Linked DNA regions of Daphnia pulex. The protein of the gene in region 1 purifies or fractionates together with the protein of each later gene. This does not show direct contact. Links are inferred from orthologs where the notes say so. Each region holds a gene or a part of one and is shown in the gene's direction. Other genes may lie near its edges.

What was found. The genes of interacting proteins can lie anywhere in the genome.
Region 2: the proteins of vacuolar protein sorting-associated protein 33A-like (region 1) and vacuolar protein sorting-associated protein 41 homolog purify together in Homo sapiens (affinity purification with mass spectrometry; 5 studies listed by BioGRID and IntAct, counting the BioPlex papers as one, with this or other methods). This does not show direct contact. The link is inferred for Daphnia pulex from reciprocal best matches to the Homo sapiens genes VPS33A and VPS41.

Annotation. Positions count from the first base shown.
Region 1 is NC_060022.1:3,591,260-3,595,293, reverse strand, and holds the start of vacuolar protein sorting-associated protein 33A-like, read left to right. Parts: upstream 1-1,198; 5' UTR 1,199-1,520; coding exon 1,521-1,580; intron 1,581-1,635; coding exon 1,636-1,674; intron 1,675-1,733; coding exon 1,734-1,927; intron 1,928-1,988; coding exon 1,989-2,076; intron 2,077-2,139; coding exon 2,140-2,244; intron 2,245-2,311; coding exon 2,312-2,606; intron 2,607-2,678; coding exon 2,679-2,805; intron 2,806-2,867; coding exon 2,868-3,028; intron 3,029-3,115; coding exon 3,116-3,270; intron 3,271-3,336; coding exon 3,337-3,721; intron 3,722-3,781; coding exon 3,782-3,904; intron 3,905-3,980; coding exon 3,981-4,034. Other genes in the region: retinol dehydrogenase 13-like, read left to right, coding at 400-518, 624-713, 888-992.
Region 2 is NC_060028.1:9,539,051-9,543,345, reverse strand, and holds the start of vacuolar protein sorting-associated protein 41 homolog, read left to right. Parts: upstream 1-1,458; 5' UTR 1,459-1,590; intron 1,591-1,671; 5' UTR 1,672-1,677; coding exon 1,678-1,872; intron 1,873-1,953; coding exon 1,954-2,112; intron 2,113-2,167; coding exon 2,168-2,490; intron 2,491-2,552; coding exon 2,553-2,707; intron 2,708-2,776; coding exon 2,777-2,995; intron 2,996-3,058; coding exon 3,059-3,164; intron 3,165-3,226; coding exon 3,227-3,378; intron 3,379-3,437; coding exon 3,438-3,592; intron 3,593-3,656; coding exon 3,657-3,835; intron 3,836-3,899; coding exon 3,900-4,089; intron 4,090-4,150; coding exon 4,151-4,295. Other genes in the region: peroxidasin-like, read left to right, coding at 68-165, 255-453, 529-634, 707-770. UniProt on the Homo sapiens protein: Plays a role in vesicle-mediated protein trafficking to lysosomal compartments including the endocytic membrane transport and autophagic pathways. Acts as a component of the HOPS endosomal tethering complex.

The DNA of each region.
Region 1 (4,034 bases):
CAACCTTGTTGTTTGATAGTTCAAGCTAATTTTGATATTTTTAATCACCTCAATTTTAAATTCAATTGTTGCATACGATAAGGTGTAACCGTCAACTGTTTGCATCCTGGTGCTGTCAAAACTGAAATCTTTCGCAACGCTCCAACATGTAACATCATTTTTTATATGTTGTTGTATTCTGATTCAGCCAAATATTACTCGAGTAATTTAATTAGGGTTCCAGATGGTAGCCGCGGTCTGCATTCCACTTTTCTTTAAGGTTTTTTATTTTTTTTTCTTTTTCTGCTGCATTTTAAAAAATCTCATTCCACTGTTTAATTAGTTGTGAATACTTCATTTTCATCAAGCATACATACACTAGAAATTAAATGTATATTAACTTATTATTTTTTCTTATAGGTAAAAACATTACTGTCAATGCTCTTCATCCGGGTGTCGTTCAAACTGAATTTGGTCGTTTCCTTCCTTATGAGACTTTAGTGAAAATTGCATCACATGTGTCTTCTATTTTCTCAAAGGTTTAAGACGAGAAAACTGAGAATTCAATTTTGTTTCCTCATTCATTACTGAGATTGATTTACATATCCGTTGAACGTTATAACTGTCTACCTTCTATATTTCAGTCGGCCAAAGAAGGTGCGCAGACAAGTATTCACTTGGCTGTGGCTGACGAAGTCGCCAACGTTACAGGAGAATATTTCAGCGATTGTAAGGTAAAATATTAACTTAAAACAAAAAACATTTATTAATAATATAGATGCCTGCAAATCAAAGCTGATGCATACAACGATAATCTAAAAGTTGATAAAGATGTACCGGAAATAATATTTGCAATGCAAGTTTTAAATATTTTTCGAATTAAAAATACAATTTTTTTAAAATCACAGATTGCTAAAACGTCCAAGTTGGCAAAAGACCTCGAATTAGCCAAGAAGCTGTGGGAGGTCAGTGAAACTTTTGTCAAGTTGAAGCCAGAAGAGCGCCATTTTTAAAACACCATTAAAACAAGGTGATTGTTTTTGTGGACGTCCAATAAAATAGGAGTTCAATGATTATGAATTTATTTAATGTACTTTATGATAAGCGAAATGACTAATGAGAGGAAAGTGTAATATGTGTTTCCATAATCCGTGTTTTGCTTTTGCCGCTTTTGCCAACTGTCCAGGATAGCCGTTTCGGAAAATGGCAACACTGTATGGTTCCTATCTCAGCTGTTCAGTGTTTACAACTGTAAGCTGTCAGTTGTGCTGATACTTGTCAGTGGTCACTGTTTCTCAGCTTGGGTCTATTTACTAGTTGACTATATACTTTAAAGCAACTATCAATACCAATCATTTACGAAATAATCGAAATATTTCCTCATCAGAAACAAAGAAACAAAAGCTCGGAAACCCTTCGCTTAAGAAATCTAGAATCTGGACAGTTAATAGCGACGTACTTAGACGTATCTTAAAGAATTAAATCTAACAGATCGAATCTGTTTACCAATTTATAAGTCAAATTTTATTAACAAAGCAGCCATGGCTCATTTATCAGCTGGCAAAGTCAACTTTAGTATGCTGAGAGAGTTGGCAAGAAAGGTACAATTTTATACAGTAAAAATAAATTTTGTCAACAGTTTTGTTATTTTTACAGGATATTGTTTCTCTTTTAGAGAAGTTCAGTGGAACAAAGGTATTTTGGTGTGTGCTATTCCATTTAAGAAATTTACGTAAATTCATCAATTATGCTAGGCGATATTTTGGGATGAACAACTCACTGGCCCCATTGGTTTGGTGGCAGAATACAGTTTTCTTAAGGAACTAGATGTTGTAAAAATGTTCCAGTTAAAACCTGGGCGTTTGCCTTCCATATCTGTTAAAAATATACTGTTCATCACAAGACCTGAAGTTGAGCTGATGGATTGTATTGCAGATAACTTGCACAGGTATGAATAATCTACATATTTTAACTTTAAATAGACAACAATTAGTTAATTTACATTTCAGCGAAGAAAGCCAAGGACATTCTGCTAGTAAGGAATATCAGTTAATTTTTGTCTCCCGACGAAGTGCAGTATGTGAGCAACGGCTCAAGGTTGGTTAAAGTTACTTAAATCAGCGAAGAAGAAATTGTTGACAAAATTATTACTTCATTTAGGACAAAGGAGTGTATGGAACTCTTACTTCTATTGATGAACTGCCTGTTGATTTTTTCCCACTGGATAGTGATGTCATTTCAATGGAACTCGATAATGTTTTCAAGGTATTTATTTATGAGCCAAACTTTGAAAGGGATTGCTTGTCATTGATTTCTTCAAATTTCTTCCCAGGATCTATATGTTGATAATGAAATCAGCTCCTTACACCAAATTGCTCATGGGTTAATGTCCCTCCAAAGTTTATATGGCATTTTCCCCAACGTTGTGGGTAAGGGACGCCATGCCCGTAACGTATTCGAATTGATGACTCGAATGCGACGTGATATTGGGGTAGACTGTGATCCCCCCATGTCTCCGTTGTTCGACACTCTCATGATCATTGATAGGACTGTAGATTTGATAACTCCTGTTGTCACTCAGTTGACCTATGAGGGTCTTATCGACGAATTCTATGGAATAAAACATAGTAAGAAAGTATTGTTAGCTTCTGTGTAAAACAATTATTTTACTTGCATTTTGTGGTTTCATTGTTATTTAGATACAGTCAAGCTTCCAGGAGAAAAGTTTCAAGCCTCTTCACCTGCGGGCCAGTCACCTCGCTCTGATGATAGCTCTGTTAAATCTGTTGTTCTAAACTCGGCCGAAGAGCTTTACGCTGATTTGAGGTGAAATTTTGAATCAGACAAATTTTGCTTCCGACAGTTTTAAAGTTATTTATTTTGCACAGGGACAAGAACTTTTCAGCCGTGGGTACTGCACTCAGTCGCAAAGCTAAAGCTATTTCAGCTCAGTATGAAGAACGACACGAAGCAAAAACTGTCAGCGAGTTGAAGCAGTTTGTAGCAAAACTACCGCAGATGCAAGCCACCAAACAGTCTTTAGCACTACGTAAATACTTTGTCGTATTTTTTCCTGGCCATTATTTAAGCTGTATTACGCATTATTTAAGCTGTATTACGCATAATTTTTTTACAGATACATCTGTCGCTGAATTGATTAAAGAAATAACTATTTCAGAAGCATTCCAAGAGGCCCTTCAAGTGGAGCAAGACCTTTTGAATGGAATTGATACTGACAAAGTTTGTCCATACATTGAAGATTTCATTTGTAAGCAGGAACCATTGACTAAGGTAACTGAAGTGGCAGTTGGATACATTTTGCCATTTCCCTTTATTTTACATTTATAATTATCACAGATTCTTCGCTTGATTTGTCTGCAATCTGCTGCCAATAGTGGCCTGAAGCCGCGCGTCTTAGAACACTACAAAAGAGAAATTATTCACGCTTACGGATTCCAGCACATGATTACGCTTCACAATCTTGAAGCTTGTGGTCTCCTTCGATTGCAGCAAAGTAATCGTCCTTTTACTGTTATACGGAGAGCGCTGAATCTTACGGTAGATGACGTCAATGAAATCACACCTACTGACATCTCCTATGTACATTCTATTTACGCGCCACTAAGTGTACGATTGATTCAATGGGCAGCTAAGCCCGGATGGAAGCAGATTTCCGATGTGCTTAATTTGATTCCAGGACATTTGGTTCAAGAAACTCAACCAATTTCCATTGATTTAAGAAGTTTGTTTCCGTTTCTTAGTTTTTATGAGACCTTATAATCACACTTCGACTGTATTTTAGGAAATTCTAGAAATAGTGTCCATAGTTCGATTGAAGAAACCAAGGTCACATTAGTATTCTTCCTCGGTGGATGTACCTACGCAGAGATTTCTGCTCTTAGATTTCTATCTAAAAGGGATGATGGTAAGTAATTAGCGTTCAACATATTTTGCAAATAACAACTTAAACAATAACTTTTTTTTTCCTTAAAATTTTTTAGCACCTACAGATTATCTGATTGCCACGACAAATATAATAAATGGTGAGAGTTTCC
Region 2 (4,295 bases), on another chromosome or scaffold:
AAGTTTTCGTTTAGTTGAGGAAAGTATTAAGCAATGAATTAAAATATTTATTGATATGCAATTATAGGTCTGCCGAATTACATTAAAGCCCGACAAATTGCCTTGAATTTGAAAACACCACTCCCAACGACATTTGATGCTCTAAATTCAACCACTTCACCAGAAGTATGCACTTTTAAAACTCGCCAATTAAAACTTTGTTTAATAGACATTTTTATGGTGCAAAACCTAAACACTTTCACCATCACTTTTAGATTGTAACATATTTCAAGAAAATTTATGGCTCGGTGAACGACATTGATTTATACATCGGTGGAGTAACAGAGACAAAAGCACCAGGATCTCTGGTGGGACCAACATTTACTTATATTATAGCTAAGCAATTTGAGAACCTGAGGCAATCTGATCGTTTCTTCTATACCGATGTAACGCAATCGGTTTCTTTCACTGCAAGTAAGAACAAAACCAATTTTGGTAATCTTTAGTGGCCTACTCAATTACTATGTGAAAAAAAAATGTTACTAATAGATCAACTGGTCGAAATCAAGAAAGTGAGTCTTGCCCGCATCATCTGTGACAACAGTGATGGAACTATTGCGCAAATTCAACCGCAGGCCTTCCGTACACCAACTGTGTAATGATTAATTTGTCACAAGTCTACTTGAAAAAATGAACTAATTTGATTTCTAAAACAATCATTTTATAGCACAAATATGCCAACTTCATGCAGTAGCATTCCAAAAATGGACTTTGTGAAATATACCAAATAAGCATCTGTATGGGTATCAAGAAAATGCATGGTTTTCACAGGCAGTTTTAAGAAAAATTGTGTTGTAAAATGGTGAAGGGAGGGGGGACTAAGGGAAAACCAATAGAAGACTACATTGTCTGTATACTTTGATAAATCTAATTTTCCTTTGAATAGTACATGTTCTCTATACTACGACAGAAAATATAGCTATTTCCCCCTTATCCTTGATACAGATATTTTTTCCCTTTTGAATAAATCTGGTCAAAGATACGTAATTAATTGAAAACTTGACTTACCGGTGATGATTAAGATGGTACTGGATACTGGGTTCTTGCTCATGGAGACCACCATTCAATGTTAATCATCCTGAATAGTATGAAAGAACAAAGAGATTAATGTTTTGTAGTTATTCAACTTTGAGAAATTGCAAAGAATATAGAAATGAACTACTCACTACATTGAAGGCACATTATTCTCAGCTTTTCACTGTCTCAGTATGTGGATGTGGGCCAAGAAAAGATGAAATTTTACAGTAGCTAAAGCATGGTATAGAAATCCTATACCATGGTACAAGAAAACATTATTAAAGTTGTCTTTCTAAAAAATAACTGCAGAGAAAGTCTATTGCACGTCAAATCAAAAAACGTACTAATCATGCTCTGTGCTCCTACGTTGCCATTTTATGATTTTAACTAACAAAAACCAGCAAAAACAATAACAAAAAGATCAAGAGTCGTCTGCATTTGACACCCCTTCAGTGACGATAAAATGTTGCAGAGTTAAAAGGCGCAGTAAACGATTTCTAGTTATTTTGTTACACAGAAAAAATTATATTATTTGTAAGTAGTTTCTCAGTTAGTTTTTCATTTTTACTTAGATTATATGTTGCCTTACAAAATGTTTCCCTTAACTGATGTTAGGAAATCATGGAAGAAACTGTTAGCAAGCTTGAACAGCATGATTTTGTGGAGCAGGCTGCAGAGATGTCACACAGTTTTGTTGCTGATGATGATGATGAAGAAGAAGAAGTTGAACCTAAGCTAAAGTATGAGCGATTGTCCAATGATATAACAGTTATCCTGAAGAAAGATGCAGCCAGCTGTATCGCTGTACATCCTAAGGTAAATATGATTAAATTGACAGTGCTTGTTTGTTAAAAATGTCTATGTATTTTGTAGTATATTTTTATCATTTCCCTTTAGTTTATGTGTCTAGGAACCAATTGGGGAGCATTGCATTTACTTGATCATCTTGGGCATTCATCACAGCAACAAGAGTTTCCCACTCATGGAATGGCAATAAATATGGTTGATATTGATAGTGGAGGAGACTATATTGGTAGCTGTTCAAATGATGGAAAGGTAGACTGAAGCATTTAGTTTTCACTTTCAGGTATAAAAATCTTTAATTTTCTAGGTTATGGTGTCTGGGCTTTACTCTACAGAAAATTGCCATACACTAATGGTTGATCGACCTGTCAAAGCTATTGCTCTTGATCCGCTGTACTACAAGTCTGGTTCTGGAAGAAGATTCGTAACTGGCGATGATAGGCTTATCTTACATGAAAAAGTGTTTCTTTCTCGCCTTAAATCGACCACCTTATTTGAAGGGGAAGGTGAAATCACTAACATTAAGTGGAAAAATAGGTTTCTTGCTTGGGCGAGCACAACGGGAGTAAGAGTCTTTGACATGTCTGTTCGCCGCATAATCAGCGTTGTCAAGAAAGATATCAGCCCTGGGTATGCATACATTTTTAAATATTATTAGAAACTGTTTACTAAATCCCACATAAAAAATACAGAATCAACCCAGAAAGTTATCGGTGTATCCTGTATTGGAAGGATGATTTGACACTGGTCGTTGCTTGGGCAGATGACATCAAGGTCTGTGTCATCCGAAGGCGTCCGGATGCTGACGCAGAGCGACTAAATCTTCCGACACATTACGTTGAAATTGGTACGTTTACCCTGAAAAAATAGTATTCCCTTTTTCTTAACGTTATAGATGCAATTTTATCTTTTCCAGTTTCGATGTTTATTATTGACTCATTCGTGGCTGGCGCTGGATGGCTGGGCAATCATTTAGCCCTTTTAGTAGTTCCAAAAGACGAGGAACTATCTGGCAAGGGTCAAAGACCTCAAATGAAGTTGGTGGAACCACACCAGGAAAGTTACAATGAAATCTCAGCAGATGTTTTATCAATTCGTGGCTTTCAGGAATACTCTTGCAACGAATATCATTTGGGTAATAAAGCAAATCAACCTGGTATATGATTGGAATTGACCACTACTTTTGGCCAATTTACAGAATGTCTGGCTGAAGAGGGTCAATTTTTCATCGTTAGTCCAAAAGATGTTGTTTTAGCTAAACCGCGCAATCCTGACGATCACGTCCAGTGGCTTATGGAACATCAGTAAGCGCAACTTTCAAAGTTTTTTTTTTCTCACAAAAAGAACTATCTTATTTCTAAAATAGAAAATACGAAGAAGCCATGGAAGCAGTTACGGGGCCACAAGCACGTGAACTGAAATGCCATTCTGTTCTTCAGGTCGGTAGGACGTACCTCGATTTCCTTTTGTCGAAGGGAGAGTTCCAGATGGCTGCCAAGCTCTGTGTTAAAATTCTGGGTTCGTACAGTAATTTGTACTCACTTTAGCCGTTCTTATAAATTGTTCGTCTCAAACAGGCAAAGAGAAAAATCTTTGGGAAGAGGAAGTTTTCAAGTTTGCTCGATTGCACCAACTACGGGCTGTTACCCCTTATCTTCCAAGAGGTGAATGTAGATTGGATCCACATATTTACGAAATGGTTCTCTTCGAGTTTCTCAAAACTGATTCAGCTGTAAGAACACATAATACTATGAGTAAAAAAATCAAGAAATGATTAAACGTTATTCTATTTCCAGGGCTTTCTTCGGCTAGTAAGAGAATGGAGTCCTACGCTCTATAACATTGCAGCTGTAATGAACGCTGTGCTCGAGCACATTCTTCGCCATGATCCAGATGATACCACTCTTCTAGAAGCCTTGGCTATTTTGTATTCTCACGAGAAGAAATACGATCGAGCCCTGGCAATGTACCTCAAGTACGTCAAACAAGGTTATTATTCTGTTATCGCGATACGGATTTCAAAATAGTTTTTGTTTCAGACTTCAGCATGCTGATGTGTTTCGGTTGATTGCTCAACATCAGCTCTTCACCACCGTCCACGATAAAATCCTCGCACTAATGGAACTGGACGTCAACCAAGCTTGTACGTTATTCCTAGAACACAGCGAACACATTCCTTCCGATTTAGTGGTGTCACGTCTACAAACTAAACCACAATTGTTATTCAAGGTTAGTCGTTCAAAACTTATCGTGTGAGTTTTTAATTAATTCAAGTTCGCTACAATTGTAGTATCTGGACGCGTTGTATCTCAAAGAACCAAAGGAAGGAAGCCGAAAATTCCACGGCCTTTTAGTTTCCCTCTACGCCGAATATGCGCAAGAAAAATTACTTTCCTTCCTCCGCAGCAGCGATTACTACCCGATCCAAGATGCTC